Linked DNA regions of Saccharomyces cerevisiae S288C. Changing the gene in region 4 together with the main gene of any one other region gives a genetic interaction. Each region holds a gene or a part of one and is shown on either strand. Other genes may lie near its edges.

Region 1 (2,749 bases), on a different chromosome or scaffold from region 4:
GAGTATAGGTGTCTGTGGCTTGCTAGCTGTTGGTGCCACTCCTCTCATTGGTGATGATATCTCCTTCACCCGTGGATCAGGAGTCGCAACTGCTTTAATGCCACCAGACTCATTCTCAGTCGTGCTAGTATTAACAACAGGTAATGGTTTCTTGGCAGTGGAAGCTGAAGAAGAGGTAGACCGTTTGCTAAACAAAGATCCAAAAATCGACCTTTTAGTCTTTTCTCCACTAGTCGAGTTGCTTCTCTTGAGAGTAGCATTAGATGGTGAAGAAATTGGCGGGTGCTTTCCCTTGCCAACAGAAGAAGATGCGGTGGCGTTTATGGCAGAACTGGCCAGTCTTGGTTTGGACGAGACCACAGCATTGGATATAGAAGTGGAACGTTTTTTCCTTACAAATTGAGTACTTGAGCCGTTGTCATCATTATCTATAAGGTCTATGGCGTCTACGGTAGCCGGATTATCAATGTCAGCGGAATCGCTCCGGTTACCGCTATTAATAGGAGTAAGTAGCGGTATGTTATCAGTGTCTGATGCAGAGGTATTACCATCGTTCCTCTTCAAATCTGGTTTCTCAGTATTACAAAGTGCTGCATTGGATACAGATGACGACCTCGCACGAGGCTTATCATTGCTAGACCTGTTACCACTCGTGCTATTGTCTCCGTTTTTCGAAGAGGACGTAGATGAAGAGGAGGCTGGCGACGTAGAAGGCCTCGATGGCTTCGTATTTGTCTTCCGTCTACTCTTACCTTTATACAACCAATCTACGGGCACATCGAACTCGGTGTTAGTTATCATAACCTAGATGCTATCTCCACTCCCTATGCTTGCTTTGGTGGACTATTGTTTCCGTTATTCGCAATTTCTATAGGACTACTATAGATTATATAAACTGAATTTTAGCTTTATGCTGTGGTGTTATTTCCCAAAACACGCTCTTCTTTCTTACGCTTTCCGTTAGCTTATTTGCTCACGGTATCAAGATTACTTTTTTTTTTTTTTCTTCTTTTCTTTTTCTTGCACTACCCTCTTCTTCTTGTTCTTCCTTGCGTTTTTACCCCTCTTCCCTTTATTTTGCAGCAAAAAGAAAGATGGAAAGGCAAAAGTGAAGGCATGATGATGACAAACTTGAAAAGAAAGAGAACAGCGAAAAGAGATGAATAATCCATGGCAATGACTGCACGCTCATGGGTATCAATTGGCTAGGTCTAATATTGTTATTGTTTGGAGTATGGCGTAGAGAAGTGGTTCCTTAACCTTAATTAATGCCCGTGCCATGATGATTGCATCACTGAGACGTAATGTGGAAACACCACTTCTCGGTCCGCGGACATCAACCGAAGGAAAAATGACAAGCTATTTCCGTGTATATCCGCGCCAATCCCTTCGGGGCCGAAGTTCGGAGGCTTTATCTCCGCTTAGCCAAGGCCGTCAAAGGCGATAAGGTGCGTTGCACCCCAATTAGCCATGGAGAAGGAAAAAAAAAGCATGTATGATCATGATGATGCAAAAATTGAGAGGAAAAATGACTCAGGCTATTTATATAAGTAAATGAAAGGGTTTCGTTGTAGCCTTTTCTGCTCTCTTCCTTCGCTCTTCCGCATATATATTTGTGTTCAGAGATTATTCTTAAATCCATAAGAACATCCCTTCATATAACAATTGAATAAGGAAAACACAACACATAACACATATTTAACCTGATGCTTCCTGTTATAACGAGATTTGCAAGGCCTGCTCTGATGGCCATCAGACCTGTGAATGCCATGGGGGTTTTGAGAGCGTCCAGCATAACGAAAAGGCTTTATCATCCCAAGGTCATAGAGCATTATACACATCCAAGAAACGTCGGCTCATTAGATAAAAAATTGCCCAACGTCGGCACTGGTCTAGTGGGTGCGCCAGCGTGCGGTGATGTGATGAGGTTGCAGATCAAAGTCAACGACTCTACTGGCGTTATTGAAGATGTCAAATTCAAAACTTTTGGATGTGGCTCCGCCATTGCCTCCTCTTCATATATGACTGAATTGGTACAGGGGATGACCTTGGACGATGCGGCAAAAATTAAGAACACTGAAATTGCTAAGGAGTTGAGCTTGCCCCCAGTCAAGTTGCATTGCTCTATGTTAGCGGAAGATGCGATCAAGGCAGCTATTAAGGACTACAAATCTAAGAGAAACACTCCAACCATGTTATCGTAATGAATAAGAAGATAACCGGGACAAGAACAAGATCAAACCCTCACTAATCAACAAGTTGGACTTAATTTGTGCAAGCATGGATGTTTCTCATTAATATTGTCATATTTCTTTCCCTTAATCTAGCATTTCCTTTCTCTCCCTCTTCTCATGCATATCTTCCTAGATATATTTCTCCAGGGTGAAAGCGGGACGGACGTGCTTGTTTTACCTCACCTGGTACTACTAGTATTTTCATTACTCTTTTTTCATCCTCCCACTTCCCCCTTATATATTTGTTTTCCCATGTGTGGTATATGGCATCATTATTATATAAATATTCTTTAGTTGTAAAAGGCTGTTTTAATTAACACTATTTATCGCTAGACAAAACTAGACTTTCATTATTTCCTTCATTTCAACGCTTGTTTAAACATGTGCTAGGTAAGCGAGTTTTTTACTTTTACTTCCAATAAATATATATATATATATACGTATACATGTATGGGCGGGCTACAACAAAATGAAATAAAAAGCGTCAGGATCATTGTTTTTTACCATACTTGACT
Region 2 (3,116 bases), on a different chromosome or scaffold from region 4:
CCAGTTTTAATGTTTCTTCTCATTGCTTTCTTTTATAATTTTCGCATATAATTATACATTTACGGTGTCTTAACTCTCCCTCTTCACCCCTCATTATTCCAGAAAATACTAATACTTCTTCACACAAAAGAACGCAGTTAGACAATCAACAATGAATCCTAAATCCTCTACACCTAAGATTCCAAGACCCAAGAACGCATTTATTCTGTTCAGACAGCACTACCACAGGATCTTAATAGACGAATGGACCGCTCAAGGTGTGGAAATACCCCATAATTCAAACATTTCTAAAATTATTGGTACGAAGTGGAAGGGCTTACAACCGGAAGATAAGGCACACTGGGAAAATCTAGCGGAGAAGGAGAAACTAGAACATGAAAGGAAGTATCCTGAATACAAATACAAGCCGGTAAGAAAGTCTAAGAAGAAGCAACTACTTTTGAAGGAAATCGAGCAACAGCAGCAGCAACAACAGAAAGAACAGCAGCAGCAGAAACAGTCACAACCGCAATTACAACAGCCCTTTAACAACAATATAGTTCTTATGAAAAGAGCACATTCTCTTTCACCATCTTCCTCGGTGTCAAGCTCGAACAGCTATCAGTTCCAATTGAACAATGATCTTAAGAGGTTGCCTATTCCTTCTGTTAATACTTCTAACTATATGGTCTCCAGATCTTTAAGTGGACTACCTTTGACGCATGATAAGACGGCAAGAGACCTACCACAGCTGTCATCTCAACTAAATTCTATTCCATATTACTCAGCTCCACACGACCCTTCAACGAGACATCATTACCTCAACGTCGCTCAAGCTCAACCAAGGGCTAACTCGACCCCTCAATTGCCCTTTATTTCATCCATTATCAACAACAGCAGTCAAACACCGGTAACTACAACTACCACATCCACAACAACTGCGACATCTTCTCCTGGGAAATTCTCCTCTTCTCCGAACTCCTCTGTACTGGAGAACAACAGATTAAACAGTATCAACAATTCAAATCAATATTTACCTCCCCCTCTATTACCTTCTCTGCAAGATTTTCAACTGGATCAGTACCAGCAGCTAAAGCAGATGGGACCAACTTATATTGTCAAACCACTGTCTCACACCAGGAACAATCTATTGTCCACAACTACCCCTACGCATCATCACATTCCTCATATACCAAACCAAAACATTCCTCTACATCAAATTATAAACTCAAGCAACACTGAGGTCACCGCTAAAACTAGCCTAGTTTCTCCGAAATGATTTTTTTTTTCCATTTCTTCTTTCCGTTATATTATATTATACTATATTCCCTTTAACTAAAAATTTATGCATTTGGCTCCTGTTTAATAAAAGTTTAAATCGCCTCAAAAGAACAATTGAAAAATATGTAAAATAACAGCAAATAAAAGTCAAAATTAAAACAAAGTACCCAGAGACAAAAAAGAAAGAAAAGAAAAAAGAAACAGTCTACAAATTCTATTTGAATATATAAAATTATATTCTCAATTTTCACGTATATATTCACCTCACAAATAATATCATTCCTTTAAAAAAAAATATGTATTATTGTATAATGTTTCAGCATAGTCGTTTTTTAAGCCCTTTTTTTTAAACTTAAAAAACAAATCAATGAGATATTGTATACCTATATTATCGATAATAAAGCGACGAGGATGGACTGCAAGATATTGGTGTTAGGCGCAGGTGGTCTAGGATGCGAAATCCTGAAGAATTTGACAATGTTAAGCTTTGTTAAACAGGTTCATATTGTAGATATAGACACAATCGAGCTAACCAACCTTAATAGACAATTTCTTTTTTGTGATAAGGACATAGGCAAACCGAAAGCTCAAGTGGCAGCCCAGTATGTAAACACGCGGTTCCCTCAATTGGAAGTTGTGGCGCACGTACAGGACCTGACCACTTTGCCCCCGAGCTTTTACAAAGACTTCCAGTTCATAATCTCGGGGCTGGACGCCATTGAACCTCGTCGCTTCATCAATGAGACTCTCGTGAAGCTTACCTTGGAGTCCAATTATGAAATTTGCATCCCGTTCATAGATGGTGGAACAGAGGGGCTCAAGGGACATGTAAAAACAATCATTCCAGGCATCACTGCATGCTGGGAGTGCTCCATTGATACCTTGCCCTCGCAGCAGGATACTGTGCCAATGTGTACAATCGCCAACAATCCTCGCTGCATTGAGCATGTTGTGGAGTATGTCTCAACTATACAATACCCTGATTTAAATATTGAGTCTACGGCGGATATGGAATTTCTGCTGGAGAAGTGCTGCGAAAGGGCTGCCCAATTTAGCATCTCAACAGAAAAATTATCAACAAGTTTTATCCTGGGTATAATAAAGAGTATCATACCTAGTGTAAGCACTACGAATGCGATGGTTGCAGCGACATGCTGTACGCAGATGGTTAAGATTTATAATGATTTAATCGACCTGGAAAACGGCAATAATTTCACTTTGATTAACTGCTCAGAAGGGTGTTTTATGTACAGTTTCAAGTTCGAGCGGTTACCCGACTGTACTGTTTGTTCAAATTCCAATTCCAACTAGTATTACTAATGAATAATACCATCCGCCGGTGTCACTTGTTTAAACATCTTGCAAGTAAGTCGAGATCCTAGAGAGCCTTGTACATGTGATTGCACAGTAAAGAAGGTATGCAGGCTAAATTATTGTTTACCAGACTAAACTTTAGACGTCCCTCCACAACTTTACGCCAGTTTCCCCTAACATGTTTTTTATTTCATAGCAAAGCATTTTACTCGGATCTGGTCACTAAGGAGCCGTTGATCACACCGAAAAGAATAATAAATAAGACGCCTGGGTTAAACTTATCTATTTCTGAGAGGGCTTCCAACAGACTAGCTGAGATCTACCGCAATAGTAAGGAAAATTTAAGAATTAGTGTGGAAAGTGGTGGATGTCACGGTTTCCAGTACAATCTAACTCTAGAACCCGCTACCAAGCCAGATATTAAGAATGATGTCAAAGACAAGGAGTTTTCAGACGACCTTGACGATGATGATTCCAAGGATATAATATACGTGTTACCCGAAGATAAGGGTCGAGTGATAATTGATAGTAAATCACTAAAC
Region 3 (2,900 bases), on a different chromosome or scaffold from region 4:
TCAAAATGCCTTTGACCAAGTTTCTCATCAAAAGTAGTCTCCAATACAGCAAATTCTTCGATTGGAGGGTTATATAAAACTGACTTACCGTTACCAGAGGACCTGTCGAACTTTAAAGGCTGCATTTTTTGCTTTTCCACAGGATCATATGTATAGGTTAACATGGAGACCAAGTTTTTAACATCCTTGAATTTTGGAGTGAAGCCTGCTCTAACTACGTTGTCAGAAGCAGCCATACATTCCATAATATCACCGCTTATATAGGCGTGAGGATCCTTAGCTCTTAAAAAGATGGCTTCACCAGCATTCAATCTGCAGTGATTCAACAATAAACATCCACAAAACAAACCCACGTCATCAGGGAACTGTTTATTCAGTCTTTGAATTAATTCTGGTAAATCAGGTTTGTTAAAGTCTGATGGAGAATTCTTTGATCTTTCGACCAAGGAGCGAGCTTGAATCTTGATTTTGTCATCCGAAGCGTTCATGACCCTGCTGAAAACAGCTTGCAATAGCTTTTTGTTTTGCTCATCTTCTGGGGAACCTTTCTGAGCAGAAGGTTGAATGTTCTCAATAAAATTCCTGGAAGTTTCTTCACCAACAATGTTGCGTAATTCAGGAATACGTTTCAATTCATCTGCAATCTCTTGCAAAGGTTTGAACCCGCAGAAACCTTCAAAGTCAGTCACAGCGATGGCCATTTCAGGTTTGTGATTATCATCAGGATAGTTCTTAGGATCTTGAGCGTGCAATATTTTACCCAAGGCTTTGTCGGGATGTGCTTGAATAGACAAGACTTTTTCAATGGACAAAACTTTGAAAAGGAAGGGCAATTCATTTGTGGCGTGGAACTTATCAATAATGTCCTTACCTAACATGGCAGAGGGGTTCTTGGAGATGATATCTCTCAGGGATTCCTTAGACTCATGGTTGTAGGAAGGCATCTTGCTGTGGGTACCCATCCATAACTCTGCATATGGTTTATCTTGTTCAATTTGAACAGAGGGGTCAGAATGGGCAGCAAATTGAGCGACAGCTGAAGAAGAGCCGATTTTACCCCAGTCGTATTGTTGGTAGCCTACATAGAGTCGTACGCGTTAGTTAGTGTACCAAAAAAAAAAAAAAAAAATACTCAAAGTATTCAAAATATTTGACGAAAAATGGCACATACCTGCATCTAACCTGAACAGCTTGTTGGACATGTTTTAAAATTTTCTGGTCTGATGTTCTTTACGTGTTTAGTGTTGAATGATTACAAGAAACAAACATTTTATACAGAAATATACTAAGATTGCGACGTGTATATTTAAATACGTAAATCGCGGCGAAAAAGGACACGGACGCGACAAAAAATTGCTACAATAACCAAGCAGCACGAAATGGATAGTGCACCACGAGACTTGGCATGATCAAAGTGCAAAAGAAAGCAGAATAACAAATTACTCCCGCAAAGTACTAGCTATATCAGGGAACGACTTTATTGGCATCTTGTTGTAGCAAGGTTTTCATGATTCTCATCCTTGCGCTTGTCGCGCGGCACGATGCCAGTGCGGAGTTTCCGCGATATGATGTAACTGCAGCTGTTGGTGGCGAACTTTGCATAAGATCGACCTCCTACTGATGAGAAAGATAGGATGGATTATATAGAAGAGCACAAGCAACGATGAATGGGTTGGTATTAGGCGCTACAGGTTTATGCGGAGGCGGGTTTCTGAGGCACGCACAGGAGGCACCCCAGTTCTCTAAGGTATACGCGATCTTGAGAAGGGAATTGCCCTTTCCGGCCACTGATAAAGTTGTGGCCATAGTAGAAAGGGATAATTCAAAGTGGTCACAATTGATCACCAATGAAATGAATCCGCAGGTGCTATTCACCGCACTGGCAACGACAAGGGCAGCTGCAGGCGGTTTGGACAAGCAATACAAGATCGATCATGATTTAAACTTACAATTGGCCCAGGCTGCCAAGGAAAAAGGATGTGAAACGATCGTTCTCGTTTCTTCCGCTGGTGCTCATCCGGACTCCAGGTTCGGCTACATGAAGATGAAGGGCGAGATTGAACGCGATGTTATCGCTCTTGATTTTAAGCACATTATAATTTTGCGCCCAGGCCCTCTCCTTGGTGAACGGACAAATTCTAAACAAAGCGGATTTGGCGGCAATCTGACTGCTGCTTTGGGCACTCGCGTGTACCGTTCTAGATTCCAGAGGTTGCTAGGCTATCCAGTTTATGGCGATGAGGTAGGAAAAGTTGGTGTTCATTTGGCGTTGAATACTTCTGGGAAAGACAAGGTTCAGTTTGTCTCCAGCAAGGACATTCTTGACATCTCAGCTTCTCTGGAGAAGATTGCTACCTAAATCAACCAACGGCTTCTTCTCGCAGCTACAGTTGTATTTTACTGTGACGTACTTTTGCGCGCGTACGGGTTCAATGAATTACGGATTTTCAACAACTTCACACAATCATAGCTTTTTTTACTTTTTCGCCTCATTATTTTCTTTAAAGAAACGATGATAAACAGAGATTTATCGTCATGTTATTTCGTTCGTATATATCGTATTTGCGTTTTAGCTGTATAAAGTAAAATACTATATCTAACGTGGCTTTTTTTATTTCCCCGTCTGCCCTCTTATGCTCATAGAAAACACTAATGATCGGTTTGGTATCGTCATAGATGCAGGGTCTTCGGGTTCGAGAATCCATGTGTTTAAGTGGCAGGACACGGAATCGCTTCTTCATGCAACAAACCAGGACTCACAGTCCATATTACAATCAGTACCTCATATTCATCAAGAAAAAGACTGGACTTTTAAGCTGAATCCAGGCTTGTCGAGTTTTGAAAAAAAACCTCAAGATGCGTACAAATCTCACATCAAGCCGTTACTAGATTTTGCTAAG
Region 4 (3,179 bases):
TTTACGATCTGCCTTTGCTCTTTCAAATAGATAACTGTTTTTGTCATGGATCTAATAATCATGTAGTAAAATATGATTAATGCAAGCGCCATAGGAATCAAGGTGATCAAGATTAGTGGAGATGGTGCCTCCATGTCGGTCAAATAACTTTGGATCAAAAATCCAATGCAAATTGCATAAGTTAACGCACCATACATTTGGCAACGCCTCATCAACGTTTTATTCAACTTAGGGTACACGATACCGTAGCCCAAAGCGATAATCAATAATAGGAAAAATGAAAATGTAACTTTACCAGCCGTCAATATCGACAAGAACACCATATAAACTTTTATTCCCGCAGTATCACCTTTTTCATTTTTCAAATCATAGTAAGCCCATACAAATATGGTTTCTGCGGTTAAAAATACAAAAAAGGCCAGCAAATACTTTTGTAATGGTAACAATTCATGCTTGTGCTTCCAGAAGGCGAAGGAATATAACGCCATCGCCACAACGTATGCGACCGCCAAAAGACCATATAGTGGCAATTTGTTGATCTCGGTGCCCGCAAGCTGACCATAAGCATTCCTGAAATTCACCACAGCGTTGAACTTGGTAGACGTCGATGATCTGAACGCAGTAACACAATAAAATCCGGTTTCTTTTATTGGGTATCTAGTATCATGAAGGCCGACCTCATTTTGAGAAAACGTCATGATTGGATTGGCCAAAGATCTATTTGTGGAAGTATATGGATCATATACAACATCTTGAACAATAAACTCATCACGATTCTCCTCTTCACAAATCCCGATATCAATTGCATAATCATCACAAATATAATACATTTCTTCATCCGGCAATTGCACACCTAAGTGCTCAAAGTCTTGGAAATCATAGATTGCAACGACTAAGCCTGGATCAGACTCATCACTCAATCCACTTATTTTTTTAAGATTGAATGATATAAACGGGTCTATTTTGCCCTTCCAATCTTCTTTGGAATACATACCTGCGCATACTTGATAATTCTTTTGACTTATCTTTTCCTTGTTAGCTTTTACGAACACTAGAAGGTAGCATAAGAAGCAGGTGAATAATTGGAAAGGTCGGCAAAACTGATATACTCTCATTGTGCCCTTACACTCTTAGTTTCTGTAAATTTACTGCCTTTTTACCAGCTGTTTCTTGAAATTACCGAGAAAATATTCTATTTCAATTTTTAACCTGCAAAACCTGAACAGAATAGTTGATCCTCTTGACTATTAGTTTGAGGCTAAGTTTTTTTTTCCACTCTCCCTATTCCTACTCCTATATATATCTTGCTCTATCTTTTTCTTCAAGTTCGTTTTTTCACACACTATTTAAAAGACCAAGCTTATGTGTGACGTGCACGGGTGCAATATCTAAATCGGGCAAAACAACTAAGCAGTAATTAAAGTACCACACTCTAGCCGAAAAGAGGTATACATGAAGGTTGAAGATTCGGAAGCAATTCCCAAATTATGTTCAACATTACGGATATTACAATGTTCAATGCGCATAATACACCATAGAAGAAAATTGGCACTACGTATATACTGTCCATTGTTCTTTTAAACACAAAATTGAAACGTCTGCGGTCTCTTGAGGATAAAACAATGTACATTGAGTATAGTAACATGCTAAGCGTTAGCTTGTATCATCAAGACCGTCAAAGCAGGCATTTCATCAAATCTATAGGACCACTTAGCGGAGTCCTGGTGATTGTAGAAATAGCCTTCTAACGTATCAAGTGATAAATAATTTAAGTTTTCCGAATTTCAGTGATCTACTTACAATATTGCTTATTAATCATTATAAAAAGAAGCGTATTTAGCGGACTAATTAGAATACATAAGGCATTCTCAGCGTAATCTAAGCAAAAAAGCAAGAAATTGACTAACAATGTTCAAATCAGTGGCTAAATTGGGGAAGTCTCCGATTTTTTACTTAAATTCTCAGAGATTAATTCATATTAAGACTTTAACAACTCCAAATGAAAATGCTTTAAAATTTCTCTCCACAGATGGCGAGATGCTACAGACGCGTGGCTCCAAGAGTATAGTTATTAAGAACACTGATGAAAACCTCATCAACCATTCCAAGTTAGCACAGCAAATTTTTTTGCAGTGTCCAGGAGTGGAGTCTTTAATGATAGGTGATGATTTTCTCACTATTAATAAAGACAGAATGGTCCATTGGAATAGTATCAAGCCTGAAATTATAGATTTGTTAACCAAGCAACTTGCTTACGGTGAAGATGTTATATCCAAAGAATTCCATGCTGTCCAAGAAGAAGAAGGAGAAGGTGGCTACAAAATAAATATGCCCAAATTTGAACTTACCGAAGAAGATGAAGAGGTCAGCGAATTGATTGAAGAGCTGATAGATACAAGAATAAGACCAGCCATCTTGGAGGACGGCGGTGATATCGATTACCGTGGGTGGGATCCAAAGACTGGAACCGTTTATTTAAGATTACAAGGTGCATGTACCTCATGCTCTTCTAGTGAAGTGACTTTGAAGTACGGTATTGAGTCCATGTTGAAGCACTATGTGGATGAAGTGAAAGAAGTGATTCAGATCATGGATCCTGAGCAAGAAATAGCATTAAAGGAATTTGATAAGCTTGAAAAAAAGTTGGAATCGAGTAAAAATACAAGCCATGAAAAGTAAATATTCCGTCCTTCAAATGAAAATACAAGATGAGACGAAAATAAAAGGAAGTGTGTATATACTGTCTTTACCCTCACTATTACTTGATAGTCCGTACATGTTTCAACGGTCATCATGGAAAAAGGGTAAAGCACTCAACTTTTTCCATACACTAAAAACGGGTGCCCTTTTTACTGTGTTATTCGTACCATTATTTATTCACTTATTTATTTATTTTCTTTGTACAGTCACAGTAACACTCTAGTTTTGCAAAGCTCTCAGCCTTTCACGCATTTCATTTACCATCCTATCTGCTTCCTCATCAACTTTTTCATCCGGAATTTCTTGCTCTTCTTCATTGGCTGCTAATTCTACGGTTGGCACTTGGTCAACATTCTTGAATTTCTCGTTTGTGTATTGTTCAACTATCTTATTAACTTCTTCATCAACAGCTTCGTCCATCTCTTCCCCTACGTCCCCAACACTCTCCATGGTATCATCCACCATTTCACTTATAATCC

Evidence for each region.
Region 1: mutations in NFU1 (region 4) and ISU1 together harm fitness more than expected from each alone (negative genetic interaction), as found in Saccharomyces cerevisiae (3 studies listed by BioGRID, with this or other methods).
Region 2: mutations in NFU1 (region 4) and UBA3 together harm fitness more than expected from each alone (negative genetic interaction), as found in Saccharomyces cerevisiae (2 studies listed by BioGRID).
Region 3: mutations in NFU1 (region 4) and FMP52 together harm fitness more than expected from each alone (negative genetic interaction), as found in Saccharomyces cerevisiae (2 studies listed by BioGRID).

Annotation. Positions count from the first base shown.
Region 1 is NC_001148.4:295,847-298,595, forward strand, and holds ISU1 (iron-binding protein ISU1), read left to right. Parts: upstream 1-1,706; coding exon 1,707-2,204; downstream 2,205-2,749. Other genes in the region: protein phosphatase regulator GIP3, read right to left, coding at 1-801; ODC1 (mitochondrial 2-oxodicarboxylate carrier), read right to left, coding at 2,725-2,749. UniProt on the Saccharomyces cerevisiae protein: Scaffold protein for the de novo synthesis of iron-sulfur (Fe-S) clusters within mitochondria, which is required for maturation of both mitochondrial and cytoplasmic [2Fe-2S] and [4Fe-4S] proteins.
Region 2 is NC_001148.4:679,542-682,657, forward strand, and holds UBA3 (NEDD8-activating protein UBA3), read left to right. Parts: upstream 1-1,671; coding exon 1,672-2,571; downstream 2,572-3,116. Other genes in the region: ROX1 (Rox1p), read left to right, coding at 152-1,258; ISA2 (Isa2p), read left to right, coding at 2,679-3,116. UniProt on the Saccharomyces cerevisiae protein: Catalytic subunit of the dimeric UBA3-ULA1 E1 enzyme.
Region 3 is NC_001137.3:157,917-160,816, forward strand, and holds FMP52 (Fmp52p), read left to right. Parts: upstream 1-1,663; coding exon 1,664-2,359; downstream 2,360-2,900. Other genes in the region: mannose-6-phosphate isomerase PMI40, read right to left, coding at 1-1,078, 1,172-1,202; YND1 (apyrase), read left to right, coding at 2,634-2,900.
Region 4 is NC_001143.9:360,558-363,736, reverse strand, and holds NFU1 (Nfu1p), read left to right. Parts: upstream 1-1,908; coding exon 1,909-2,679; downstream 2,680-3,179. Other genes in the region: PTM1 (Ptm1p), read right to left, coding at 1-1,115; ESCRT-III subunit protein VPS24, read right to left, coding at 2,920-3,179. UniProt on the Saccharomyces cerevisiae protein: Involved in iron homeostasis within the mitochondrion where it is involved in the assembly of iron-sulfur proteins.